Mytilus edulis: one gene and its partners. The protein of the gene in region 2 purifies or fractionates together with the protein of the main gene of each other region. This does not show direct contact. Links are inferred from orthologs where the notes say so. Each region holds a gene or a part of one and is shown on either strand. Other genes may lie near its edges.

Region 1 (7,570 bases), on a different chromosome or scaffold from region 2:
CTTGTATAGAGATGGTGTCAAATAAGCTAATTCACAAAGAAATAAAGTTGCAAGAAAGTCTTGTCAATGGCGCACTTTATGGACATGGAGACTTTGAGCTAAGCTCCTCAGTAAGCCATTTTCAATGCACAAAAGCTCTATGGCAGATTAAATCGGAGAAAGAAAAGGCTTTTGCATTGCAAAAATTCTTGACTCATGGGTCTGGAAACACGCTTAAATAATAAAGATGGCAAAGCGTGGCTGAGAGTTCTACAAATAAAGCATCGAATTGACATAACAAGAGTACACTTAGAGCATAGTATTAAGCAAATGAATCAAAATATTATATTCCGTTATGCCCGCTCCATATATATATCTCCATTCGTTTATTCATACTTTGACTTTGATGAAAACAGATACATACATTATCTTATACATATTCTTCATATTTAAAAATAAAAAAAAAAGAACCTCAATCTCTTTCTTTTTCACAAATGTTAAATTTCTTCATCTACCAATATACTAATATAAACTTCACAATCTCTTTCTTCCTCACAAATTTATGTTTCATTTCTTCGTCTATCTATATAATAAAACATTTTAATTAGACATATCTGCTCGTATATTTTAAAAAAAACATTAAATACAAATTTCTTTATATCTAATAAAAAAAAAATATGTTTTCTTGTCGCTAAATAGTCTTCTTGTCGCTTGTTGTCGCTAAAATAATTCTTGTTGTCGCTTCTTGTCGCTTGTCGACGCTTGTTGTCGCTTCTTGACGCTTGTTGTCGCTAATTAGTGAGACCCGATAATAAAATGTTCCGAGGGGAGTTATAAATGGCGGGAATTTAAGTTGATAAACAGTCACATACATTGAACATCGTAGAAATGTTAGCCGAAAAAGCTTTAGAGCTCATTGCTGAGTTACAACGAACAATTGATAGCACACTTGGTCCATATAATGAAGATACAGCCAGACACGTGTTAGAGGAGATGAAAGCTTTGTTTGAACAAAACCAGAAGGATGTCAGCGCCACAGTTGCTGGAGAAAATGGTTTGTTTTCAGGAGTACAACTTCGGCATGCTGCTTTGGAAAGGAATAAAAGGTGTCTTTTAGCATATATTTATAACAGATTACAACACATTAAGAAGATGAGATGGGAGTTTGGAAGTGTACTGCCTTCGGATGTCAAATTGAACCTAGGTGAACAGGAAGTTCAGTGGTTTGGAAAATATAACAAATTGCTAGCAAACTATATGAGGTCTATAGGAGACCACGGGGGACTTGATCTCACACAAGATCTTAAACCACCAAAAACTTTATTCATTGAAGTCAGGTGTTTGATGGATCACGGTGAATTTGAAACTCAAGATGGTAACATTGTATTGTTGAAGAAAAATAGCCAGCATTTTCTATTGAGATCTGAATGTGAACATTTAATTAGACAAGGAGTTTTGGAACATATTGTCCATGGTTAAACACTGTTGAATCAAGTTTATTTAATGTGCAATAAGCCAAAAGCAAGTGTGTAACTTTTATCAAATAAAATCAATAGACAATACCAGACAGTATTTGGATTAATTCTATTTCATTTAATGTAGGTCACCTGGCCCAATGGGTGAACTGATTAATATTGCCCTTATTGTTAGTTATTTTCACAGCTACATGTACATGTATGTCACAGAAACTCGGTTAACTATTAATTTTTTCCAAGGAATATGTCTGTTGATGGGTAAATCGGCTAATGCAACAACAGTATTAAATTCAGGGTTTTAACTTGACTATTGAATGATGAGAGCTATTGAATAATATTCCACAACATTAATACATGCACATGTTTATCAAACTTAACTGAATGTCGAGCAAATATCAATCATCAAATATGTATCAAGCTCAAATTGCCCAAAGTCTGTTAACATGTAGTGAAGTCTTTGGAAGGTCTGTCATAAAAAGTTGAGTCTCCAGAGTCCAAGTCATGCAAATAGCAAAACATATTGTTATGCGTTTACTTTTCTACATTGGCTAGAGGTATAGGGGGAGGGTTGAGATCTCACAAACATGTTTAACCCCGCCGCATTTTTGCGCCTGTCCCAAGTCAGGAGCCTCTGGTCTTTGTTAGTCTTGTATTATTTTAATTTTAGTTTCTTGTGTACAATTTGGAAATTAGTATGGGCCGGCCAGGCCATTCATTAGAAGGCGGTACCCGGTACTTTTACCCTCCTATGCTATTGACAAGTACCGCCTAAATGTAGGAATTTTTATATAAGATATTCAGGGAATAAATTGAAAAGTACCACCTAGAAACATGGAAAGTACCAGTCAACATGAAAGATAATGAAACCCCTTTATGGCGTTCATTATCACTGATCTAGTATATATTTGTTTAGGGGCCAGCTGAAGGACTCCTCCGGGTGCGGGAATTTTTCGCTACATTGAAGACCTGTTGGTGATCTTCTGCTGTTGTGTTTTTTTCTATGGTCGGGTTGTTGTCTCTTTGGCACATTCCCCTTTTCCATTCTCAATTTTATGAATTGAAAACAACACGAGTTTGATCAAATATGTGTACGACTTCTATGAACAATCAAAACCAGCTGAAGGACGCTTCCGGGTGCGGGAATTTCTCGCTACATTGAAGACCTGTTGGTGATCTTCTGCTGTTGTTTTTTTCTATGGTCGGATTGTTGTCTCTTTGGCACATTCCCCATTTCCATTCTCAATTTTATATTTAAATACAAAAAAGACAGCCAGCTACAAATGGGGCTCCCAACTGGGGACAGATACTTAGTGGCATAAACTATTTGTATACAGCTCTATATTTTTGAGGTAGAAGACCTGGATGCTTCACTATATGTAACTTTTTTTAATGTGACATACATGTACTCATAATTATGAGTAATACAATATGTAGTAGAAATATATTTGGTATATTGGATCCTTGCAATGTCTTCATGTCTGTTAGACAAATCACTTGACCTTGACATCATTTCATGGATCAGTGATCAAGGTTAAGTTTTCATCGTAAAGTCAATATCGGACAATGTAACCATTAGGTTGACTATATTTGGTGTATGGAATGATTGTAAGGTGCACATGTCAGATTGAAAGATTTTCTCTGACCTTGAACATTCATAATAACAGTTCATTGGATACTAGTAATGTTAAGTTTTGTGGTTTGGTTTATTTCACAAATACTTTAAACAACATGAACAATGGGACCACGATTTTTGCTGTAAATTGAAGGATTGTGGTATGATCATATGTGTCTGGCATGTTTCTTATGACCTTGAAATTATTTTCATGGTTCATTGAATAATGTTAAGTTTTTGTGGTTTTGTCTGTTTCTCAGATACTATAAGCAATACTACAGCTGATTTTGGTTTCTGTCTGGCAGGTTTAATCTGACTGAACTTTTTTATGATTCATTTTATGTTTAGTTTTTGTTATTTGGTCTATATCTCATATATATACAAATACAAATGTACAATAAGTAATAGGTCCACTATATTTGCTGTATGGAAAGAAGTAAAATAACAAAAGTACCGAACTTATACCATGTAACTATGGAATGATTGCATATGTCTATCTGCCATTTTCTAATGACCTCATTTACATGGTTTGTTGGTCAATGATAATTAGCTTCCATGGTTTGTGTGTATCAGATAGTTTAAGCAAAAGGTACTAAAACTGCATGACATTGTTTAGATCCTATTCAGTCAATTTCAATAAATTTATAAATGATATGTTATACTTGGCTATTAAGTTTACAAAATGATGTACATTTGAATAACCATGATACTTGACACTATTATAAATGGGCATGGTGAATGAACTTTCGACTACAAATGTACAATTTTTGTGAACAAAGGAAGATAACTCCAATTGAAAATATATGATTTGTCTAAATGCCATACAATATTTAATTTTATGTTCACATTTTAAAGTGAAAGCCTTTTGATTTATTATTATGTAAATAAGCATAATTTACAGAGACATTTTAGTATGTGTACTCTTGTTTTAAATCTCCACTTATGACGTATCTTTAATTTGGTGTATTGATGACAATGTATGCACTGAATATATATGAGGTTTGCTGAGATCTAGAGTAAGGCTTCAGTTTTGGGGTTAAATATATTAGCAGGCAATCAAAGTCCAATAGCTACTGGCTGATTAACTCTATATAAACCTCTTCTTTACCTGTACTTTTGAGTGCACACAACACGGTGCCGTGAGGCGTACATTGATTGTATCCTATCATGGTATTTGAGAAATTTATTAAACAGATACTCAGATATCCAATTTACAAAATGATGTGTATATTACCATATGTGACAAACAGATTTCGTTTTTTGAATTATACAAGTTTCAGATAGTCATTCAATGCTGTATACATTTACTGGGTTTTCAAAAATTTTATGGTCAAAGGGAAATAACTCAATTCAAAGCTTGCAGAATGCAAACATTGTATTCATGCATTTGTAAATATGTTTGTTCATGCATTATATCTTATTTGTTATATTGTTGTACTATCATGCCTCATGTGAGGCCTTTAGTGAAATAAAATGTTTCAATGTATAAACTTCAAATTGAAATCATGGTCAAACTCGTCAGAAGAGTCCTTATTGGTGTTATTGCCAAATAAAAAGTGACACTTTTTTAATCATTTTTGGGAGTTATATCAGTGATATTGTTGGCTTTTTTCAAAACTACCTCTACCCTTTTTTATTGGAAAAATGTGCATCATTTGTATCAAATTGGGAAATTTATAATTAACCATGAATTTGACTGGAACTTCAATTTGCAGATCCCCTTTCAAGAGGTAAACCCTCATTTGAAATAAGAGCCCTTATTGTCAGTGATGATACATAAATAGACCCTCAAATCTGTACATATAGTCATTTTTAGACATTAAAAATGTTTAAATGAGTGTTTTTCAGTTTGAATTCAATCGCAATTAATACTTGACTGCACTGTTTCGGAAAAAAGTTGTCTTTTTGGGAATAATTTTAAGCCATTTTTTAGCTCACCTGGCCGAAAGGCCAAGTGAGCTTTTCTCATCACTTGGCGTCCGTCGTCCGTCTTCGTCCGTCGTCGTCCTGCGTTAACTTTTACAAAAATCTTCTCCTCTGAAACTACTGGGCCAAATTTGACCAAACATGGCCACAATCATCATTGGGGTATCTAGTTTAAAAAATGTGTCCAGTGACCCGCCCAACCAACCAAGATGGCCGCCATGGCTAAAAATAGAACATAGGGGTAAAATGCAGTTTTTGGCTTTTAACTCAAAAACCAAAGCATTTAGAGCGAATTTGACACTGGGTAATATTGTTCATCAGGTCAAGATCTATCTGCCCTGAAATTTTCAGATGAATCAGACATTTCCTTGTTGGGTTGCTGCCCCTGAAATGGTAATTTTAAGGAAATTTTGCTGTTTTTGGTTATTATCTTGAATATTATTATAGATAGAGATAAACTGTAAACAGCAATAATGTTCAGCAAAGTAAGATCTACAAATAAGTCAACATGACCAAAATGGTCAGTTGACCACTTTAGGAGTTATTGCCCTTTATAGTCAATTTTTAACCATTTTTCGTAAATCTTAGTAATCTTTTAGAAAAATCTTCTCCTCTAAAACTACTGGGCCAAATTTAACCAAACTTGGCCATAATCATCATTGGGGTATCTAGTTAAAAAATTGTGTCCGATGACCCGCCCAACCAACCAAGATGGCCGCCATGGCTAAAAATAGAACATAGGTGTAAAATGCAGTTTTTGGCTTATAACTCAAAAACCAAAGCATTTAGAGCAAATCTGACATGGGGATAAAATTGTACATCAGGTGAAGATCTATCTGCCCTGAAATTTTCAGATGAATCGGACATTCCGTTGTTGGGTTGCTGCCCCTGAAATTGGAATTTTAAGGAAATTTTGCTGTTTTTGGTTATTATCTTGAATATTATTATAGATAGAGATAAACTGTAAACAGCAATAATGTTCAGTAAAGTAAGATCTACAAATAAGTCAACATGACCAAAATGGTCAGTTGACCACTTTAGGAGTTATTGCCCTTTATAGTCAATTTTTAACCTTTTTTCGTAAATCTTAGTAATCTTTTAGAAAAATCTTCTCCTCTGAAACTACTGGGCCAAATTTAACCAAACTTAGCCATAATCATCATTGGGGTATTTAGTTAAAAAAATGTGTCCGGTAACTAGGCCAACAAACCAAGATGGCCGCCATGGCTAAAAATAGAACATGGGGGTAAAATGCAGTTTTTGGCTTATAACTCAAAAACCAAAGCATTAAGAGCAAATTTGACAGGAAGTAAAATTGTTGATCAGGTCACGATCTATCTGCCCTGGAATTTTCAGATGAATCGGATAACTAAGGAGTTATTGCCCTTCATAGTCAATTTTTAACAATTTTCTTAAAATTTGAAGATTTTCCACAGAAAGTACTGTTATAGATAGAGATAATTGTAAGCAGCAAGAATGTTTAGTAAAGTAAGATCTAGAAACACATCACCATCACCAAAACACAATTTTGTCATGAATCCATCTGTGTCCATTGTTTAATATTCACATAGACCAAGGTGAGCGACACAGGCTCTTTAGAGCCTCTAGTTTTTCAAATTGGGATTCTTCTCCAGGAGAAAACGCCTTTATTCTCCAGTAATTTAATGCAAACAATATCACTGTATATAGTCTATATTTTTGAAAACAATAAATTATAGGATGAAACTTTGGAGGGGAAACAATAATCTTCAAATAGGTTTGCCAAAAACATTGGTCCACTCACACTAGGAGTTGTTGACCTTACATGACAATACATTCAACTAGTTTGTGTGTTCATCTATTATCTTGATTATCTTGATTACTCCAATATATAGAAAAAATTGACAGCAGGACCAATCTGACTAAAATATTGATCTCTGATTTCGTTATACTACATCAGAGATCCATATTTTAATTAAATTGATAGCAGGACAAGATAACCATATCTTGGTCAAAATTAATGGCCGAAATTGTCAGTTTACTATTTATAGAAGTTATTCCTTTTAATGATGATTTTACCCATTTTTGCATTTTTAGAGAAGCTTTGGTGGATAAAGAAATAACCCAACAGGTCTTAACAGCACAGAATATCTGTAGAAATATCATAGCTTAAATGTTCAGTCAACACCAAAGACCGTACGGTTTCCTAAAATTGACTTCATCCTCTTTATTCGAACTTTGATGGGCAGTTGTTTCTTTGGCAATCATACATCTCCTGTTTTCTTTATATTTATGTAAAAGAACTTTTAAAATTCACAATATTATTGTTTGTATGTCTGACTGGGAATCCTTTGCATGTATGACAAAAAAAGACCTTTATTCTCAGTTAAATTTACCGGCATACCATCAAACTATGCACAGGAAATAAACAAATTAATTATTAAACTAGTTGTTGGCATGATACGATTTATGTTCTTCTCGTATAGTTTATGATGGTATGATACTTAAACCTTAACGGGATGGATTGTGCTTGATTTCCATATTTATAATGAATACATAATTTTGCAAGCAGGCAGTCCTTTGTTTATTTATGTTATCA
Region 2 (7,997 bases):
TCTTCAATTTTTAATTCACTTGCTGTTGCCAACTAGTTTATTCTTAACTGTGTATTGATATGGTTTCATATACATGGAATTTCTTTTTTGTACACATGCACAAATCATTTTGGAAGCAAAAGTCTTCCATCCTTAATATATTTGATACCTTACCAATTCTCCAGCTTCTCTGTCATCCTTTCTGTCAGATCTACTGTGTTTAGGTGGGTCAGCAGCCCTGTTATATTAAATATAACACTTTTTTTTTTTTAAATACTTTACTAGCATGTGACTAGTGCATTTCAAAAATGGAGTGCCAGAGAACAGTAGGATGATATATATACATTTTGTACAATGTAGAATGTTTGCAAAGGTAGAAATGAAAAAATAATATTAATAGAGAACTGCAGAGATTTCAAGATATTTCAGATATATGTGTAATTATTTTATATGCATCGCGCTGTAAATTATTCATGTTATTCAACTAAAAGGTCCGAGACCACAATTATTTCGTAGTGCATTTCTTTTAGAACATAAATGAAAATTTAAAAAAAAACCACCTGCGCTTTCTCAAGCTCAAAATATGGACAATTTTATGTTTAGAACGTCTTGAAATCTTTCAACAGCTTCCGAAGTGCTAATTTTTAACCTTTTTCAGCTGGACCAAATCACTACTTTCCTTAAAAATTTGAGACCCAAATTTTTTTACAGTGTAATTTCACCCCCCTTCTTGCAATTTGAGGCATTACACATGGAGAAATAAATTTGGAAGGGGTATAAAAATTAATGGCAAGTAACCCACTGTCAGCACTAGGGACTATATTTGTGAACAACGAAAATCAAGGGACGACAATTGTGGTCTCAGACCAAAACTGACTCAATATACTGAGGAAGATAAGAAACTTTCATTTCCTTAGATATTAATTGAAGGGGCTTAATACATGTAAGCTACGTTTTTGTCAAAAAAATAAAATATGAAAGAAGAATTGTGAAATAATATTTTGCTTAATAGCAGTAAGTTTAATTCAATTTTGTCAAAATAAGTTCAATTGACAAGAAAACAGTATGTATAATATGACAAATTACTTAATAAAATGTACATGCAATATCATAAATATTTAGCACTTCCCTTTCAATCAATCTAAGAATTTGTAGGTTATTCTTCTATGAGTTGTTTTATTGGTATCTTACCAATGTTCAATCTTATTATATTTCACTGTACAAACATGTTCTTTAAAGAGATACATCAGTATTTTATAATGTTTATTTCATATACAGATATATAGGCCATATAGCTTACCCACTAGCTTTTTCTTGCGACTCTTTATTATCATCTAAAACAAAACAAAATTTTTTTAATTACGAATGTATGAATGGAGGTGTTGATTTTTCGCTCCTAAGATAAGTCATCTTATTTTTTTTTGTATTATATGCGAATGATAAATGTATAACATTTATGAAAGGGTTTAAGCATTGTAGGCCCGTCATCATCAGGGATTTACCTACATGTATATCAATTTATTTTAATTTTGTCGTTGTCAATAGATCTACAATACTTATATGCATTTTATAAGCTATTATTGGTTTGCTTGAAAATATTTCGTTGCAAACTGCATCCTGTTTTAGTAGGTCCCAATGTTTACTAATGCATTGTTTTAATTTATGAATGCACTTTTTTTTGGATTGATGTAAACCAATAGACCACTTTCGAGTTCATCCGTCACCGGCAAAAACTCGTCAATTATACACGCCTTTATGACGTCATTTACCAGATAGAGGGGCTCGCCTGTATCCCTGCACTATTTACGTTCATCAAGCGTCTTAGTGATCGTCTTTGTGCAGGATAAACTAGAAATAATGGTTGCTCTGTAGGTACTTACTGACATTTCCTTAATGACAGCAGTGTTGATTGTCAATTTTGAGAATTCATATTTGCCAAATAATTCGTACAATATAGAATTATAGTTTTCCAACCACTCGCTCAACATTGGAAGGAAGTGACGACGCCCCTAAACGCACAAATGACGATGATAAAGGCGCGTATAATTGACGAGTTTTTTCCGGTGACGGATGAACTCGAAAGTGGTCTATTGCAAGTCTAGTAATACTAGCATCATGTGATCAATATTTTGTAATATAATTACAATAAAATACTTATAGTATGTATACGGAGTCTTCGGAACTAGATTGTTTGCTATCGGAAATCGGATTGATGTTGGAATACGTGGATGTTAGGTGTCACTTTAATACAGTCTTCCGAATAAGATTGTTTGCTATTGGAATTCGGATTGATGTTGGAATACGTGGATGTTAGGTGTCACTTTTATACAAAGCATGTGTAATGTCCAGTACTGGCGGACAAATAGTGATAAGGTACATTTGAAAATAAAACATTCAACCACAGGGGCTTGTTTAGTGGGTCAGACAAGGTTTTACTGTCAATGGCGATCGCTATCCTATATAAAATAGCTGTCACTTTAATACAGAGTCTTCCGAATAAGATTGTTTGCTATCGGAATTCGGATTGATGTTGGAATACGTGGATGTTAGGTGTCACTTTTATACAAAGCATGTGTAATGTCCAGTACTGGCGGACAAAAACAAGGTATTTTATATAGGATAGCGATCGCCGTTGACAGTAAAACCTCGTCTGACCCACTAAACAAGCCCCTATGATTCAACCATGTTTTTAGAAACCACTACTGGCACTGGTCCACATAATCATGACGTCTGATCGATGAGGGAATTTACGATATGAATTTTACAGATCATTTAATGAAGTTGTCAAGGTAAATACTAAAAATAATAGAATGCTATATTAAATGGAGTACCAAGTTTTGTCTATAAAAATCCGAGTGACAAACGTAGACTTCTATTTCTAGCAACAGCAATTGTTCATTAAAAAACAACCTGAAGCAAAGCTAACATATTCATCAAGTAATGCCTTTATTTATAATCGAATACTTTACCCCCATAAAGCCATTCTTCGTCGTCTTGTGTGCCGGTTTGTGGTGCAGCTACACCGGCAGCCGCCATCGTGTTTACAATTTTACTTCTTTCAGTTTCGAATTATTTATATCGAACTGTTAAAACGGGTCAAATTATTTTCAGATATAATATTTATATCCAATGCATAATCCATGTATCATCTTATGATAGAATAGTGTAAAAACTACGAAACTCGATGTATGTAATTTATCTGAATACCGAAAATAAAATAAAGGTCCATAAAATTACAGGTATGAATATTTCTCTCAGATAAATATTTGATGTCCCCTGTCTCAGAATATCCCCTGATAGTGGGTTTATAACGAACATTTTGATGGCTTGCGGATAAAATGATCAAAATTAACTTTTCTTTCATAAAAAAGGCAAAATGTTAGATATCAGTCTCAGATAACAAAGATCAGCTTTCAACACAGGCTCAGAAGTTTTTCTATATATACCTCTACATTGTATATAGGATTTTTTTTGGAGACAAGTGCCTGTGGCTTTCAAGCAAGTCCTGGCAAATTATATAAACTGTAAAATTGATTGAAATCTCTTGGAGTCCGAACTAGTCCAATTAATAATTTTTGACGTCTAAAAACGGTCTATTTTTATTATTTAGACTAAAGTCTGTATTATTGCAAATACTGTTTGAAAATATGTTGCGCATTTCTAGTTCCTGCAAGTTGTGCTGTACATCATGACTTCATGTACATGAATGCATCTCCTTCATATGATTTTCCTATTAAAAGCAAGCTGTGAAGCCATATACGCTCGGTATTGGGGTATTGTTTATGGTCCTATTGATATTTAAGGGTCACTATTTCAATCGTATTCAATTTTTAGAATGGTTTAAGAGTTTATCAATTCAATCAACTGTTTGATCTCTATGTCAAAGGTTGACCACTATTGAGTTGATCAATTAATAAATTTGTTTTAGTTTTTTTCAAGGATCGTGATTGTATCAATCATATTCAATTGTTAAGATTGGGAAATATGAGACAACATCCCGACCAAAGAGCAGATAACAGCTCAGGGCCACCAATGGGTCTTCAACCACACCCGATGATGGGCCTTAGCTGGCCCCTAAATAAAATTGTGTACTAGTTCAGTGAAAATGGACATCAATGCTACACTCCAAAACATATAAATGAACTAAAATTAAAAAACATACAAGACTAACAAAGGCCAAAGGCTCCTGTCTAGGGACAGGTGCAAAAATATGTTGGGGTTAAACATGCTTTGTGAGATCTCAATTCTCAACCCTCCCCCTATACCATGTATACCTCTAGCCAATGTAAAATATTAAGGAAACACACAGCAATACGCACAGTAAAACTCAGCTTAAAAGACTTCTGGAGTCCAATGTCAGAATAGGTAACAAAAGAAACTAAGCAAAATGACAATTAATGATACATAAATTAACAAAAGACTACTAGCAGTTAGTGACATGCCAGCTCCAGACCTCATTGAAACTGATTGAAAGATTATGTCTTCATCATATGGAAATCAAGCACAATCCTTCTAAATAGGGGTTTAGTATCACAACAAAATAAAATATATGAGAAGAACATAACCTGTATCATGCCAACAATTGGTTTTAGAATAAATGTGTTTATTTCCGATGCAACAGCCCTATGAGTCAATCAATATTAATTCCAAAATATGCAATCCTTAATGACCTGACAACAGTATTTTTACTGAGTTTATTGAGTTGATATATATGTTCATCAATCATGTCAATGCAGACTGTCAGGGTTTGCACTTTTATCATAATGATCAATGGCTTGCAATTTTCCAACTTGATAAGTCTGCCCATATAGATTGTACCCTACTATTTCAATCTCCTCCTTTAAAATAAACATTTAAAATATGAAAATTGTATGAAGTTTTACACAAAATTCTATACGTTGTAAAAAAATAATTTAATCTGCCTTTTTTATTCAACTCTTTCATTAAAAATTTCAAAATATTGCAAAGATAGACTTTAGACCAAAGTTTAATCTTTTCCTACCTTCTGGTTAGGTCATCTGATCTTGTTTTTCTATTCGTTATGTTTTATTGTATAAATGTAATATATAAATCCATATTTTCATTTTTTAAACAGTGTATATATATACAAAATATTGAAATACTTTGTTCTTCTTTTATACAGGATTGAATGCCATATCCATGATGACACTGTAGTCTGTAGACAGGGAAAAACAGCAACATGAAACTTGTTAAATCACCAATAGCTGTGATGACTTTCTGCAGATTCAGACTTCTTTCATTATCACCAATAACCCATTACAATCATATGACAAACTTAGCCAGATTTTCAAAGATTCATTGCTCAACACAAACATCAAGAACATACACATGTGTTACAATTGGCAATTTAAGTAGCAATCTCTTTGAAAGTTGCCATGTGAAGAAATGTGGTAGAATTGAAGATAAACAATATTTTCATCAATGTGGTCCAAATCTAAATAAAAAGTTCCCTAAAAAGGTAAAAATTCATGATAACAAAAAGGGACAATCATCTGATGAATCTAATAATGTGAAACGTGTAAAGTTGGTGAAATTGATTGACACTATTCAGTTGTTTTCTAATGAAGATCTGTTAATTGGAAAGCAAACATTAGCAGGGGCTAAGGAATATGCCAACAGTAAAGGGTTCAAATTAGCTAAATTAGAGGGAAAATTTACAGAAGGATTCCCATCTTATAAACTTGTGACAAAAGAAGAACAAAAGGAAGAACAGAAGAAGACACCGAAGGAAAAGAGCCCAAAACGCTTTGACATTGAAACAAAAATTGCCGGCCATGATCTCCAGATTAAAATCAATCAAATGGTTAAAATACTTGTAAAAGGAAGAAAAGTCAATACTGTTCTATCAGCTGCTAAAAATGAGGTGAGTTGGCTTTATTGTTTTAACGTTTTGATATATAAAACTTATTGAAAATTTCAAATAGGGATATGTATTAAGACACAACCTTGAGAATGTTAGCCCAATGTACATGTGGTGTATTTAATTTACACCATGATATTATGGTTAATGTAAAGTGATAAAATTTCAAGATTTAGAGGTTCTTTCAGCAATTTGACCTTATTTTATGGTATGATAAATGCAAGACATCCATGCAAATAAATTTAATACTGCATCATGATATTACTACATATATTATATATATATATATATTGTCTAAATGTAAAATTATCTCCCCTTTCAAGAAATTTGTTAATTTTTTAACCATTGACTGAAGTGGTTAACATGAGCACATGAATTACTGAACAACATGCTTGTGTGAATAAAACATGTTAAATGAGACTAAAAGTCCAATGTCTTTATCATGCTGTAAATGTGGATAAAAAGAGATGCAAGGTATATTGTAATGATAGTGTATTTATTGAGATAACAACCAAAATAATTAAGCAAAGGATGTCTAGCCATCTGCTTTCAGTCTTCATCAATAGAAAGGACTGGTGTTAAATTGCCTTGAGCATCTTAATGTACATCCCCTTTAAAAAAAATACTTATCTTAATTTGTTTGTTGTATATCATGTATTTGACACTATGAGTCTTTTCTATACATGGCAAAGAAGTCTTGATTGATTTCCACCTCATGTATCATGTGTATTTTAGTAAATTTTGGTTGAACAGGCACTTGTCTTATTATGAACTTCAGGTTATGTGATACTTATTTGAAAAGGTTATAGACATGTACCAAAAAATGAAGCATTGAAAATTCATTAAGTATACCTGCTCTAATTGAAATCTCCTTCTGCCAAAGAGTTTTCCTTATACTGTAATGGCTGGAAATATGACTGAAAAAATGACTAAACATTGAAGTATTAAAATAATTATTCATGTTATTTACACAAACTGACTTAAATTTAATATTGTCTAATGTCATGAATATATAAGGAATGAATTTTCTGTCCATCTTTCCCTTTAAACAAACAAACAATTTGGGCACTTTATGCTCCCCTAGTTCATTAAGTTGTTCTTTCAAAAAAATAACTGTCATGACTGTTGTGTTTACTGTCTTATTTTGATTTTTTAACTGCATCCTAGTAAGGTTAAGAATGAATTTTCTTTCTGTTTTGGTTGCTTCTTTTTTGATTAAATTATGACCCATGGTCAAATGTTTGTAAATACATGCAATTAAGATTCAACATCCCTGAACTTTTTTAATAGTGCCTGCAGACATTGGTTTGAATTTAGATTTGTTTTGTATTTTTTTAAATGTGACTGTGTTTTGTGATCAGTTCTAATGAAACTGATTATAATTGAAACTATTTTACTGGTACATGTTGTTTTTTTATAATTTTGACAAAAGTGTTATTTCTTGAGAATTGATAATTAGAACTAAAGTCATGTAGAGCTATTTTCACAAGTTTTATTTCTTCTTGCAGCAAAACAAGGGACTACTTGGATCAGTTCACAAAGAGATAACAGAAGGACTTGACTCAGTAGGTTACATTAAGGATTCCAAATTCAATATTGATAAAGGCTACATAAACTCAGTATATGTACCTCGAGAAAATAAAGTGAAAACAGCTGATGGAACTTCAGAAGATGATGGGGACAAAAAAGAATAAATTTTTTGATTACTAGAATGCAACTCAGGATGTTTTTTTGTTTTTTATTGAATCAATTAAAGTGATTTTAGAACTTGATCTGGGGTATTCCTGGTGGTGACACATATAGTGTCAGTATGAAAATGAAATTACTGGTGTGCCTTGAAGAATATGTTGGCTTTGAAATAAATATTATTACACAGACCTGTATTTCATGTTTCTCTGAATTGTAGTTTTCAATCATCATTTCATAATACACATTTTTCACACAAAAAGAATAAGCAAACATAACACTTGATTGATTTAAACTGTTCCATATTAAAATTATTTCAAAGACAATAGAGACAGGGAATGTATCAAAGAGACAACAACCATACAATAGAGCAGAAAATTTGTAAGGGTTCCCTGGAACCCAGTGTCAAGCCTACTTTTGCTATTAATTGCAGACTCAACAAAAATGAGGA
Region 3 (8,069 bases), on a different chromosome or scaffold from region 2:
CATAGCAATAAATCACAACCATACAACCTAATACATAAACTTGCACAAATTATAGTTGTAAACATGTAAACAATACCAAACATACAGTTATCCTTGGAAAATATATACTATTTAAACTGCTTTTATTATGGGTTTAAACATTTGTGGCTAGTAGGAGAGTTTATGATTTTTTGGATTTTTCAATTTGTGTAGTTTAGATGCTTCTTACATATATATCAAAAGAATATTTTAATTTCCTTGAGTATTATGTATACAGACATGGACATTTTCCAATATGAGATATTTCCCTTATCTTGATATCACATGGAAATTGAAATGCTTAAAAATATATCCATCGCACATATAGTTTATACAAATTAATAACAACACTGATGTAATTAAAAGGCACAATTTTTGTTTGATAAAATTTGCATTTATGATTAATTGTGAAAACTGACCAAAAAAATACCAGCACTTTCATAGTCAATTGATTATTTTCTTGCTTCATTTATTATAAACACAAATCTCCTTTAAACTGCAACATTTAAGCCTGAGGCATGCTTCATGTGGTTTACTTTTTTGATAGGCAGTTTAATTAAACTAATCTATGCATAGTTACATATTATCAACAGGTAAATTTGTCATTAACCCTTTCCTCCATAATGACGCCTTTTGACGCCACCCCCTTTACTCCATAATGACGCCTTTGGACCCCTGTATAGTGCCTCAGTTGAAATGTATTACCTAGGATAAAACTTCATCAGACTTAAAAAAAAATGTAACTAATATAAAAAGGATATTCATGAGAACATCTGACTGGAATTTTATTGATGAAAAATTTGTTTTCACAATGCATTAATACTTTAAACCTGATGATTATCACGATTATTTTTCATTGAAAAAATCTTGTGCAAATCAAGTATGTAAAAAAAAAAAGCCAAGGAGGATAGCTCCTCCTAGCATCAAAATAATACAATGGTATAATAAAAATATAACATGTAATTTAAGGTTTTCACATGGTATACAGTTACTTATAAATGTGTAAAAATGTGTGTATACTATATGTATATATTGGGTCTTTAAAGACTCTCATAAATCTTTTTTAAGATTGGCACATACATTGTAAATTTTTTAATGTTTTAAGTCTATTTATGTGAATCTCATTTTATGTTTGTATGTGGTGAGACTATAATAAAATATTGAATTTGAATCTACTTCTTGTCTGTTATAATCCATTTAATAATTGGACAATTGAGTTTTCATTCCTTTGCACTTGTTGAAAGAATACATAAGAAATGCATGTCCACAGTGAATCAGTTATATTGTTACATATGGTACATGTATAAGAAAAACATGAAAGCAAGAAACCTAAAAACACAAGTCCACTAAACAAATACATTGTTTAAAACCACAAAACATTGATGTTTTGGGTTATTTGTGTGTTGTAAATACAACTTCAGAGTTTAGTATAATGTCCATTATCACTTAACTAGTATACAATGTACATATTTGTTTAGGGGCCAGCTAAAGAACGCCTCCAAGTGCAGCAATTTTTCGCTACATTGAAGATCCATTGGTTGGGTTGTTGTCGCTTTGACACATTCCCCATTTCCATTCTCAATTTTATTCATTAATTTATAGAAGATGTTTGGGTTAAAAAGGAGCATACATCATATTACATGTACATTCTGTAGTACAATATTAGACAATTGTATTGTGATAGAAAAAGTCACTCATCATCCCCTTAATATAAATTAGATTATAAATACTTTAAGAAATCTCTAAAATATGTAAACACTTTTCAATACAAACATAAAGAGAGAACAACTAAGAAATACATTTTTGGAGAATGCAAAAGATAGCTTCATTGCATTTAACATGATTAAACAACAGCAAAGAAGAAAACAACAATATATTTCCATTAGACACCATATATATCCTGCACTCACTATCACATTTCTGTATTCAGGGAACTGATGAAATCTGGCTCAAAACCCTCATTTGCCAGATTATTTTGTTAAAATATGCACATCATACATGTAAGGCCATGTGTGATTCCAGTTACTCTACTTAACATACCAGAAATATTGTACTTGATCTGAATATTGTGGTATGAATAAGCATTGTTTAGAAGTTTTATAACATTTAATAAGTGGGCAAACTTTGATAAGCGACCCCTATGTTTTTGTTTTAATAATGAGGGGCCTGATGGGTTATTTTCGTTCTTCTTGATCGGTGCATTTTCGCTATTGTGATCCGTTATTTTTTATATTTTCGTGATCCTTGATCATGGAAATTTATTTTCTGCAAATTGTGATAGACAAAAAAATCAACTAGTGAATTGTGATGAGACTGCCCCATCAAACCCCTCAATAATAGCCCACCCTTAAATTTTTTGGTCATTTTTCATTAAGCACTGTTAAAGTCAAAATGTTGAATGTTTTTGCTGAATGTAAAAAAATATCCCTACCCCCTAACCTTACTTTTTTTTTTATATGTATTTGGCCTAATGAGCAAAGGTATTAATTAATTTTCATGAACATAAATGTGTGACCACAACTTCAAGGTAAATTTCTATTTTTTCTGTTTGGTTCTGATGTTGTGCTTTAAAACTATCTACTGCCCAAGGTTAAACATCACCACATTCTGTCCTAAGCCTTAAAAAGTTTACATAATAAAGAACAAGTATGTATAGTTGTTAACTTCTGTGTCATTTGGCCTCTTGTGGAGATTTTGTCTCATTTGCAATTATACCACATCTTCTTTTTATATATATATATAGGCGATTTGGTGTCACAATATCACAGTAGCATGGGTTCGAATCCCGGCGAGGGAAGAATCAAAAATTTGCGAAAGCAAATTTACAGATCTAACATTGTTGGGTTGATGTTTAGACGAGTTGTATATACATTATGTACACAGCCATGTATCACCATCATTGATGGCGATTCGATGGATACATCTGTTGTAGAGTTGTCACTGACTCAGACGTACTTATATATATATATATAGTTGACTTCAGTGTCATTCGGTCTCTTGTGCAGAGTTGTCTCATTGGCAATCGTATCACATCTTCTTATTTTTATGTTTCAAGAGGATATGACCACAACTTTATATTAGCTTAGTTAACATGATACAGGATTAAAAATGGGACACAGAACAGAAAAGATTAGTATATCCATCCATTGAAGTGGGGCAAAAAGCAAAACAAAAAATGAATTTACATAATATGAAATGTTGACATACCTTAGTACTTCTCACTGATCTTAAAAAGGTTACTGCATCTATCTTGATCTCATTGGACTGCTATTAAAGAAAAAAATATATGCATTTATTTTTCATTATCTCTTCTATTCATATACATTTAAAAAATGTTTCATATCCCACTAAATTGGCTCACTAAGAGTATACATGTATTACAATTTCCTGTATTATCACATGTAACTGATTGATGTTTTTTATTTTTATAAACCTATGGTCAATTTTATCTGTTCTTCATTGGTTCAGCTGAAACATTTTGTCAAATGACCACTGTTTCCTGCAGCTGGATAATTGTGATAATCCATTGGATAAATGATACATTAATAGACATGAAGTAGAGAGAGAGATAGAGATTTTTTTATTTGATTCAATTGTTATTGCTTAAAAAAATAACAACATCTTTAAGGTTTAAGGTCATGTTTTATATTGAAATTTTTGCAAAACATTAAGAAATAATTTCTAATTACACATGCATCAATTTAAGGATTTATTATCTAAATCAAATTTACTGTTTAAACTTTAATATGACCAAGGGCCAATTTATTAAGAAACTGAATCGACTGTTACATACATGTACATGTACATGTATAAAGTAAATTCGTGAAAAAATACCTTAATGTAGTTTGAAGAGAAGGGTTCAGTAACTTTCAATATATATACACGAGTTGATCAAATTGCAATTGTATGCTTAAATTAAATGAATGATTATACCATTTTGGTAAATAACTGACTTAATTTTAAGTAATATATTGTTTACGTCCGATTACAATGAATTTCATAATAACCCACTTGGAAGATTGAAACATGCTGGAATTAAATAATCAAACAAAAGTGATTTAAAATGTATTATTTAACATGCTGGAATTGAACAAAACTAATTTAAAAAGTATTATTCATCAAATTTGAATATGAAAAAGGTTCATATTGCCCATACACACAATTTTAGATTGCTTTCATTGCAATGATTATGAGAATGTAATCAAAATGTAATCAGATTCTTGGGTGATTAATGATTACAATTACCACAAGCCTGGTATAAAGTTATATGAGATTAGGGAGGTTCCTCATTTCTGTTTTTCTTTCATAGTTTATAGTTTTTTTTTATTCTTCAGTCAGTTATTTTCATTTTTTTTCAATTTATGATTTTAGACACCATAACTCTTTATTATGTTTATTATTTATGACCATTTCTCTCTATAGATTTATTTAGCTGAGGGCTCATTTTCTATTAACCCCTTACCAGAACCTCTTACATCATGTACATGTAAATGATGTATGACACAAAAACAATCAATGGAAAAATAAACAAGATAAACAGATAAAGCTGCCTCAATACTTTCAAAACATCTCTAACTGATCAGTCTTAATCATACCTATAGTATAGAACTGGCATGACAATGAATTTGATTTAAAACTATCCAAACGTCACAATTGTCATAACTTATTTATTTTTTACAGAAACTCACTTGTTGCTGATGTTGTTTATCAGATGAAAACTTCAGAAAGAGAATCAAAACTACACAAGTTAGTATTGCAAAAGCTGAGACTAAGAATAGATACATCATTCATCACTTTCATATTTGAAGACGCCAAATTAAAACCAGATTATGAAAAGAAACTTTCATATCCATCTAAAAATTACTTCATACAAGTGATCATAAGTTCTGCATCAGTAACAAAGTTCAACCGGAAATGACTTAACTGAAGTTAGCTCCCTTTTTAATGTAAAGTTTACATCCGGTGTAAATCCAAACCAACGTGAGCTCTTGGCCGCCTAAACAAAGTGTTTTCTATTCACTTTGCAATTGTTTCAAAGCTAGAATTAGATGAGGTGAAATCAATTATTGTAATAAACAGTACTAGTTTCATCCACACAATACTAGATATACACAATGGTCCCATAAAAGCTAATCAACTAACCGGCACAAACCAGACAACAAGTCAACATACACTGACATAGGGGCCGAGTTCACTTGAAACTCTACAATCAACTTCAGAGTTAATAGATTATCACGTGAACGCACTAGAGTTGATATTCGGAACAACTCTAAGTCACTCTAGGGTAATGCCCTGACCAAGCATAAAAAATAAAATATTCTCATTGGTTTGACGTCATTCAAGAGTTTCTCGAGTTTAACCCTGGCTCGGTGAGGGTTGGAACTAGAGTACGAGGGGTTAACTCGAGTGATTCAAGTAAAATCGTATTGTTAACTCGAGAGTTTCAAGTGAACTCCGCCAGGTAGTCCATATAATTATGACGTCTTGAAAGGCTAATATTTTTTCTTTCTTTGACGCCTTACATCAACATTGTTATTCAGACTAACAGCACCTCAGATTCTGGCGTAGTACTAGTCGGCAAATGTCAATTCGGCTCCTATTTAAAGTCATTTTCAAATATTTTGGCATCTTGCTTGTAAAAATTGGGTATAATTTAAAAAAAAAAGTATTAATTATAAACAATAAGCATGAATGCATGATAAAACACTTTTATCCTACATACATATACGGTAAGCACAAGATCTAATGAGAAAACAGTAAGCACATCTGTTATCATGCAAAACATAAATATTGGTACCAAGCACAGCAAATTTAAGAAATTATTGATGCATTGCAAGCTATTCTTTATTGTAGTTTTAAAATGGGTAGGCATTATATTCGTGATTATATTTCCCCGAGCGATAGTAAGGGCTAAAATAACAGGAACATATGCCACAGCAAATTTAAGAAATAATTGATGCATTGCAAGCTATTCTTTATTGTAGTTTTATTGTAGTTGTAGCATCGGAACTAAACACATTTATTTCTTAAAAAAAAAACAGTTGTTGGCATGACACGGGTTATGTTCTTCTCATATATTTTATGATAGTATGATACTAAACCCCTAACGGGAGGGATTGTACCTGATATTCATATGATGAAGACATAATCTTTCAATCAGTTTAATTGAGGTCTGGAGCTGGCATGTCAGTTAACTGCTAGTAGTCTGTTGTTATTTATGTATTATTGTCATTTTATTTATTTTCTTTTGTTACATCTTTTGACATCAGACTCGGACTTCTCTTGAACTGAATTTTAATGTGCGTATTGTTATTCTTTTACTTTTCTACATTGGCTAGAGGTATAGGGGGAGGGTTGAGATCTCATAAACATGTTTAACCCCGCCGCAATTTTGCGCCTGTCCCAAGTCAGGAGCCTCTGGCCTTTGTTAGTCTTGTATGATTTTAAATTTTAGTTTCTTGTGTATAATTCGGAGTTTAGTATGACGTCCATTATCACTGTACTATTATGCATATTTTAGGGGCCAGCTGAAGGACACCTACGGGTGCGGGAATTCTCGCTACATTGAAGACCCATTGGTTACCTTCGGCTGTTGTTTGCTCTATGGTCGGGTGGTTGTCGCTTTGACATATTCACCATTTCCTTTCTCAATTTTATTAAAATGGGTAGGCATTATATATTCGTGATTATATTTCCCCAAGCCATATATAGTAATGGCTAAAATAACAGGAAAATATGCCACAGCAAATTTAAGAAATAATTGATGCATTGCAAGCTATTCTTTATTGTAGTTTTAAAATGGGTAGGCATTATATTCATGATTATATTTCCCCGAGCAATAGTAAGGGCTAAAATAACGAACATAATGCCAGTCACCTGAAGATTTCATAATTATAACGAAAAAATGGGGGAAATAAAATAACACGAATATAATACCTACCCATGTTAAAACTACAATAAAGTATTGCTTGCATCAATTATTTCGATTCTGATTAGGACAATGAAGGTATTATCTATATCCGATGTATATAAGTGTACAGTGTTTGTGTATATATCTCTTCCATGAAGTTGAACCTCCCTTTTTTGTTTGTAAAAAAGCAAACGACTGGCAATGTGAATTTTCAGAGGGAGGAGTTTGAACAGCCAGCATGAATGGCTGTCGTATCTTGCTCAAATATGTCAATTTCCATTTGCAAATTACAGTCATAATAAATGAATTAGTAACAACATGTGCATCATTTAAGAGTTCAGAGTTGTTTTAAGTTAATGAATTATATTAAATGCATGCCAATTTGATAAAAATCATTATTCTGCAGTAGTCAATATACGCATGACCATGTGCAAACAAATTTTATTAGAGCATGGGTTTATTCACAAAGCAAAAGAAGCACGTCATATTAGAAGAGCAATTAATGTGTCTGATCTGTGTGTCTTTTTCAAACGATAAATATGTTTATATTAATGTACAGTTGTCACAAAATGGAAGTTCCATAGGTACTAAAAGTTATAGTTTAAGGCACTTTGGGACAGTAGAATTATTTTAGTATTATATGAACACAAATATACTCTAGAAATAACTTGTTTAAATTTGCTTTTTACTATCCAAAGCACTTGGTGATATTCTCTTATTCTCTTTTTGATATATCAGCCTTCTTTTACTTTAGACAAAATGTTAGACAACCCATAAAGAGCTATATGTACTAAACTATTCTTAACCCCTAACCTTACCCTAACCCATACCGTAAACCCAAAACTAGCCCTAACCCTAAAAGCTAACCCTAACCTTAAATTAAATATCCTCTAACCATACCATAACCAGGAATTAACTGGTACCTTTACTCTAGGTATAGGGACCCTTAAAGTAAGAGAAGGCTGATATATCAGTGATGCAAAAATAATTGAATTGAAATTAAATTTAAAAAAAAAGACTAAAACACGTTTGTGATATTTTGAAAAGAAATGGTGTGACTGTGTCAGTTGTGTCATTTGGTTATGACATTTACATATGTACAGACTAAGTACTGTATTCTATTGGCTCTCAGTTTGTATTT
Region 4 (6,978 bases), on a different chromosome or scaffold from region 2:
TGACGTAATCTGACAAAAGCCATCTATAAATAGCTTTTGTTGCATGGGTCATGAAACACCGTCCTTTGAATGCTGTTTTCTCTAAGAAATATGGCAATGCTCCACAATGATCTAAATGAAAGCTGTAAAATATAAAGAACATAGAACTATATAGTACTAAACAAAAACTAAATCTCGCTATAGAAACTAATATACTTAACAGATCTGTTTTATTCCACATTTGCCAGAAGTATAGAGTTGAGATCTCACAAAACATGTATAACCCAGGCTCTGCAACATTTTTGCACTTGTCCCAAGTCAGGAGCCCCTGGCCTTTGTTAAGTCTTGATTTTAGTTCAATTATATGTTTTGGAGTTTAGTATGGCCTCCAATATCACTGAACTAGTACACATCTTTGTTTAGGGGCCAGCTGAAGCAGGTTTTTGGTGTGGTATTTTCTAGTTGTGTTGAAGACCCATTGGTGGCCTTCAGCTGTTTTTTGCTCTTTGGTCAGGGTGTTGTTTCTTTGACACATTCCCTATTCTCTATCTTATCTGTTTTAGTTCAACCATGTTTCATTCGATTATTGTGATGGTATGATACTAAACACCTCACGGGGAGGATTGTGCCAGATATTCATATGATGAAGACATAATTTTTCAATCATTTTAATTGAAGTCCGCAGCTGGCATGTCAGTTAACTGCTAGCAGTCTGATGTTATTTACCGTATGTATTATTGTCATTTTGTTTATTTTCTTTGGTTACATCTTCTGACATCAGACTTGGACTTCTCTTGAGCTGAATTTTAATGTACGTATTGTTATGCGTTTACTTTTCTGCATTGGCTAGAGGTATAGGGGGAGGGTTGAGATCTCACAAACATGTTTAACCCCGCCGCATTTTTGTGCCTGTCCCAAGTCAGGAGCTTCTGGCCTTTGTTAGTCTTGTATTATTTTAACTTTTAGTTTCTTGTGTACAATTTGTTCATTATCACTGAACCAGAATATATTTGTTTAGGGGCCAGCTGAAGGATGGCTCCGGGTGCGAGAATTTCTCGTTGCATTGAAGACCTGTTGGTGACCTTCTGCTGTTGTCTGCGCTATGGTCAGGTTGTTGTCTCTTTGGCACATTCCCCATTTCCATTCTCAATTTTATTCCTGTACGGCACTGCCAAACTATAATCACTGCAAGATAAATGAAATTTTTTAAAATGTATTTAAATTTTTTGCTTTCAATTTAACACTCACTGACTGATCAGCAACAGATCTATGTCTTCAACATCTACACAATCTAGGTATGGAAGGGAAGCAACTCCATGAAGTCCTGGGTGAATGCCACAGTCCAACTACAATACAGAAAAAATGGCGTTTTAACAATATAAATGTACTCTTACAATCATAAACTTCATTTTAATTGCCAATTGTACATGTTGGTTGCATGGAGAGTTAACTTCTGTAAATTGAAAAATTTAGTTTGTGGTTAGTCATAATTTAAATAGTAAAACAGATGTGTTTGAAATTGAGTCCTTTGAAGAGTTTTCTTTTAGGTACCGTAATATTCTCCAAATATACTGAGATTTTATTCACAAGGTGATATATATTTGATAAATATGCAAACCAAAAAATCTGCCTGTTTTGGAACATATTTCATGACTCCTACTTGAAACTGATTTAATCTCTTTCTCTGAGCTAGCTGAGGTATTTTATGCACCTTTAATGTAATTAAAATGTACATTTACAAAAAAGTGAATTAATCAAAGGTGTTGTTTACTTTCTTGGATCAACCGGATAAGCATGATAAGGTCATCTATGTGTATTACCATGATGAAGATTTTTCTGTATTTCGTCACACTCTTGTTAAATTGATTAACCCATGTCAATTGCAACCAACTAATATTTGCTTAAGCACACAAATGTGATTTTGATATTTGATCTTACTTGCTTAAGAAATTATTACATTTTTAAATGACATACAACTTTTTATGGTCACATTATCATGATTATTATGAAAGGTGTATAAATTGTGATTTCTTTTCCCTAAATAGTCATGATAGTGAAAGATTTGATCACTCAAATGTCCCAAGAAAAAACTAGGTTCTGGAAAGTTAACACCTGTTACTGAATATTTACCATAATTTTCTTTCCTTTGAATTCCAGTATGTGACATGATCTACCTACTTCTTGACCAGAACCTCTGAAATAAATATTAATCAATGAGAGAAATATGATATATAATAAATTTTAAATAGAGATAATTCTAAACCAGCATGACTACTATAAATTCAGAAATTTTTGCGGGCATTATCCATGTTTTATCATTGCATTTTTAGAAGAATGGACAAAAATGTGAGACTAATTTTTGCGATTTCGAGAAAAATCTGCATAAAGATGTATGTCATGTATGTATCAGATATCAAATTTAGAGTTCTTTTTTAGGCATGCGGTACTCAAGCAGTCCTATTATTTGCATAAATTAAAAGCAAAGATTCCTTGGTCAAGCTGTGTAGATATCCAGATTGTGATATAAAGGTACGTCTATTGGAACCAACAGTTCTTCAAGTTCAACGATGTCAGTAGGTGCTTTCTTTCCACACAAGTTAAAGCCATCATCGGTACCTTTGATATAATGACACAGTTATGTTGTAATTATTTAATTTGGGCGCCCTATTTCGCAAAATTATATAAATCTAATTAACGATAGTCTTGTCTCATGGGTTTTCATGCTATTAAGAATGCATTGTGACGTCACAATTTCCATTAAAAAAACATGCATAGTACAAATTCGTTTGACGTACGAAACCATATGATCTGACCATATACATGTATTCATGGTAGGTAGAAAGTGATATTTGTAAAAAAAAAAAATCACAATGTTTGATTGGTTTTTTGTTTGTGTGTGTGTAGGCACAGTTAATAATACTTTATATGAAAGGACGAACAAGCTAAGAATCTATAGTTATTATTTATGAGTGAAAATATATGCTAACAATGGTTTTATTATCAACTGATCACTTTCTTCTATAGGAACTTGGCCCTCTGTTGTTTCATTAGAAGCCATTTTTTTTCTGATTGTTACTTCTTAATATGACAAACAGAACTTACATAAATACTGTAAAATGTCATACATTTTCATAAAATAACACAAAAATAACTTTATTTCATTGCAAATTCATATATTTTTATATGAAATATCTATTTAATTTATTTGTTTTGTTTAATAATACCTCATTTTTAAATAGTTTCGTTTCTTTTAAAAATCTGCATTTGTAAAATTCAAGATGTCTGCGCCCATGATGAAAAAATATGCCGAAAATTATAGTAAGGATCTATATATCTGATCATATCTTAGGATTAAGTATTTGGGTCAAATACAATCTTGTTCATTTTATATCTCTAGTCTTCTTAGGGGATTAATAGTAAGGATCTATATATCTTAGGATTAAGTATTTGGGTCAAATACAAATTATTATCTTGTTCATAAATTTTCATATCTCTAGTCTTCTTAGGGGATTACCATTTGATTTTCTTGGGAAGAGGTATTCGGAGGATTTTGAAAAACAATTATCCTGGCCTGGTTACAGCTGAGGCACGAACATAAATACATGTAACCTTGGTAAAACTAAAAAACTGAATGAAAAGAAATTGTGGCAAACAAATGTTTCTCCATCAAAGCCGCAGAAAAAATTTAGCATACTCGGCTACAGATCCATTGTAGGGGCTGTTGTGTAGTCTAAATAATTTATAGTTAGGAAGGCGCCACAAATCCCTCTTGCTGCCGGAGGGACACATATGTCCATGGTAAAATTTATGCAAGTTTCTCAATCAATGCTGTATCTCTTGGAATTAAAAAACCGAAGATTAAACAGTGTCATGATTTTCTCCAATTGGTCCCAAATGTAACGGTCATTATGTCGTGACGTCATATATCGAATGACGTTGTTTGGCATGTTAGGTCACAGACGTAGCTGTCGTATTCTCTTGCATATGAAATGCAACCTTGAAAAACGGTTGGCAGCAAGAGGGTTAAAAAGCCTTTCAAGTCGTCATAATTATTTTGACTAGCCATAGTGGTAATCTGACGGTCAAATAGTCAAATGATTCAATGGTCTGACAGTTCAATAGTCTAGTCAGATGGTTTAGTGCTATTATATATAGTGATTCATTACTGCTAGACAGAATTATTCTGTATTTATGAAGCATATATTTCGTGATCTTCATTTCCTTTTAACTGTGTTTTCTTTTTCTATTGACATGATTGATTTATTTATTATTTTCATTGTGATATGTAAAAACAATAAGTGAAAATCAAAAATAGTAAATGAAGATCATTCTCAGGAAATATACTTTTTCTGTGGACAGGTGGACACTGATGTTTGTTTGGTTGTTCATATATTAGCTTTCACAACATCTCCACATCTGGGGAGAGAACAACCCATCCAAAGAATTTAATTCTACGTAACTCAAGAAATCCCTCAGTCCAGCATATCAACTGCTGAGTCTCTGAGTTCCATGGGATGTTTTCAAAAGACGAAAAGTTGGGCACACAACAGCAATTAGTAGGCACCCTTTCTAGGTCTTTTCACCACCAAACACCACCACACACAGTGGAACACCAGCGAAAACCCCCATTTTTTTTAGTTATCTTTTATCGTTATAAATGTGACCTAAATATAATATTTAAGTTATAAATTCAACAAATAATAAGATTAACAGACCAAATATCTACATCAAACACAGTCACTGGACACCTCAAATATGTTTTTTTTTCTTGTTTTTTTTCATCTTTAAAATATTTGTACCTATATCATGAATATTAATACTATCTTGTACTATTATTTGTCTGTTTGTCTTTTTCTTTTTTAGCCATGGAGTTGTCCGTCATTGTGTCAGTTTATTTTCGATTTCTGAGTTTGATTGTGCCTCTGGTACAGGCCTCGACAATAACGCTTGTCCGATACCAGAGGGAAAAAAGGTCGGACAAGTAAAAGCTGTATCAAGCTTGTCCGTCGGGACAGGTTCAATTATTTTGCAGAAAAAAAGTTTTAATTATTCAACTTTGATGAACATTTTTTTACAAAAATATTTTTTTTATTTACCATAAAATTAACAAAATCATATTTGATCATAAGTAGAAAAAAAACAATACTTGCAATATAGTGACCTATAGTTGTAAATTTCTGTGTCATTTGGTCTCTTGCTGAGAGTTTTCTCATTGGCAGTCAGACCTTATCTTCTTTTTATTGATTGTATTTGAATACACTTTTTTCTACTTAGAAAAATATAGGATACAAATGTCAAATGAGTGTACAGGCCTATCAGATGGTGCCTCATGTGCAGAGTCTGATGAGACTAGCATTGATGAGAACTATAACCTAAGTCCTGTGACATGAATTGATTCAGTTGTACTTGACTCATATTTTTGAAAATTATTTTAAAAAAAACCCATCAAATTCTGTTCTATTGTTTCAATTCGTTTTGTTCCTTTAATCAACTGAAGATGTAAAAAGATTATTTTACAGTAAAAAAAAAAATTGGACAAGTAACAATTTCATTCGGACAAGTAAGTTTTGGTAGTTGAAAAAAAAAGTTATTGTAGAGGCCTGTGGTATCTTTTGCCCCTCTTTTAAGAAGAGACATTTATCATATATATATATATATCAAAATCTAACTGACATGACTGATGAAGAGAAATCAAGGATACTTGAACTGATTACTTATTACGAATATGTTTGAATTTTATTTGAAATGTTTAATATATATATACATATACACACACAATGTAATCTGGATAAAGGGATGAATCTGGGGACAATTAACTCTATATTGATTTATTGATTATCGACTTTGACATAACAATGATGCACATAAAAATCTAAAAATTGATTTAATAATATGCTATTTAATTTATTTTATCGTTTTATTGTATAGTATCACTGTGGTCAGTGTTGTTTTTTTGGGGTGTTCAGCGGTATACAGTGGTGTTTGGTGGTGAAAGGACTCTGTGGCCATGATTTTGCTGATTATCATTTTAACTGGTTGTCTTGCCACAAGACCAAAGTTCTTTACTTTTTGCCACTAACTGTGATTTAATTGAAAAAAGCACCCACTTATCTGAGCAGTAGTAGATCAGTTGCTAACAGAGCAAACTTACACATATGACTCTTCTTGGGCGCCATCTGCACCCTTCTTTTTTGGCGAATTTTGACTGTCAATATTTGCAAAACATGAAAGTGGTCATCTCTGTTAGGATCTGTAATTAGGCACTTCACAGTACTAGTACTCTTTTCTGGTACCTTCCACAGTCAGGGGACTTACTGAAATAGGTGATTTTTAAATCACTTATTTGAGTAGCAAAATCGTTTTTTTGTCACAAATTGGAATTTTGTATTTTTTTCCAAATTTTAAACACATAGGTTTAAATAATATCTTTTAATTAGTAAAATTAAAAAAAACAAAACTTTTTGCTTCTTTTAAGTAGAAAGGTTTCTGCCTTTGATGCTATCATTTAGCTGAAAATTCTATTTTAGTTGAAAAAATGCTATAATAATGGCTTTACATAATGAACTGATACTTTCTTAAAAGATTTTTCCCAGCAGTGGGAGTATTTTTCCTGTGAAGTTCAAGGTTTCATCTTTCAGATTATGTAATAAAATTCTACTGTTCGCGATAAAAATCTCACTGTTCAGGGGTGTTGAAATTAGTAAGGATTATTAAAAGAATGATACTTAAAGAAGTGATTTTTGGGAAGGAAATTGAGGTCTGATACTTAAACAAGTGATTTTTATGTCATTATCCTAGATTCAGTACAAGGTCATCACCTGAAATGACCTGGTCATCCTAGACAACACAGATGTTGGTTCTGATAAGTTAATTAAATTAAATTAAAGTTAAGTAAACATAATTAGTCCCTGGATCATTAGTATTCTATATTTAAAGCTACAATAAAATTAAATCACTTCTTCTAGTGATTAATTTGTACTACTTAAATAGGTGATTATT

What was found.
Region 1: the proteins of pre-mRNA 3'-end-processing factor FIP1-like (region 2) and prolyl 4-hydroxylase subunit alpha-2-like purify together in Homo sapiens (co-immunoprecipitation; 3 studies listed by BioGRID and IntAct, with this or other methods). This does not show direct contact. The link is inferred for Mytilus edulis from reciprocal best matches to the Homo sapiens genes FIP1L1 and P4HA2.
Region 3: the proteins of pre-mRNA 3'-end-processing factor FIP1-like (region 2) and cleavage and polyadenylation specificity factor subunit 2-like purify together in Homo sapiens (affinity purification with mass spectrometry; 7 studies listed by BioGRID and IntAct, with this or other methods). This does not show direct contact. The link is inferred for Mytilus edulis from reciprocal best matches to the Homo sapiens genes FIP1L1 and CPSF2.
Region 4: the proteins of pre-mRNA 3'-end-processing factor FIP1-like (region 2) and cleavage and polyadenylation specificity factor subunit 3-like purify together in Homo sapiens (affinity purification with mass spectrometry; 5 studies listed by BioGRID and IntAct, with this or other methods). This does not show direct contact. The link is inferred for Mytilus edulis from reciprocal best matches to the Homo sapiens genes FIP1L1 and CPSF3.

What each region holds. Positions count from the first base shown.
Region 1 is NC_092352.1:54,411,924-54,419,493, reverse strand, and holds the start of prolyl 4-hydroxylase subunit alpha-2-like, read right to left. Parts: upstream 3,062-7,570; 5' UTR 2,920-3,061; intron 1,547-2,919; exon of another isoform or gene 1,459-1,546; coding exon of another isoform or gene 868-1,458; exon of another isoform or gene 795-867; intron 1-794. Other genes in the region: DNA replication complex GINS protein PSF1-like, read left to right, coding at 868-1,458. UniProt on the Homo sapiens protein: Catalyzes the post-translational formation of 4-hydroxyproline in -Xaa-Pro-Gly- sequences in collagens and other proteins.
Region 2 is NC_092351.1:28,666,969-28,674,965, forward strand, and holds the start of pre-mRNA 3'-end-processing factor FIP1-like, read right to left. Parts: upstream 3,074-7,997; 5' UTR 3,016-3,073; coding exon 2,949-3,015; intron 1,314-2,948; coding exon 1,280-1,313; intron 218-1,279; coding exon 154-217; intron 1-153. Other genes in the region: uncharacterized protein, read left to right, coding at 5,180-5,863, 7,369-7,554.
Region 3 is NC_092346.1:19,602,895-19,610,963, reverse strand, and holds the start of cleavage and polyadenylation specificity factor subunit 2-like, read left to right. Parts: upstream 1-4,955; 5' UTR 4,956-5,071; intron 5,072-8,069. Other genes in the region: uncharacterized protein, read right to left, coding at 3,226-3,285, 4,707-4,805. UniProt on the Homo sapiens protein: Component of the cleavage and polyadenylation specificity factor (CPSF) complex that play a key role in pre-mRNA 3'-end formation, recognizing the AAUAAA signal sequence and interacting with poly(A) polymerase and other factors to bring about cleavage and poly(A) addition.
Region 4 is NC_092350.1:41,935,416-41,942,393, reverse strand, and holds the start of cleavage and polyadenylation specificity factor subunit 3-like, read right to left. Parts: upstream 3,078-6,978; 5' UTR 3,038-3,077; coding exon 2,967-3,037; intron 2,174-2,966; coding exon 2,110-2,173; intron 1,326-2,109; coding exon 1,228-1,325; intron 123-1,227; coding exon 1-122. UniProt on the Homo sapiens protein: Component of the cleavage and polyadenylation specificity factor (CPSF) complex that plays a key role in pre-mRNA 3'-end formation, recognizing the AAUAAA signal sequence and interacting with poly(A) polymerase and other factors to bring about cleavage and poly(A) addition.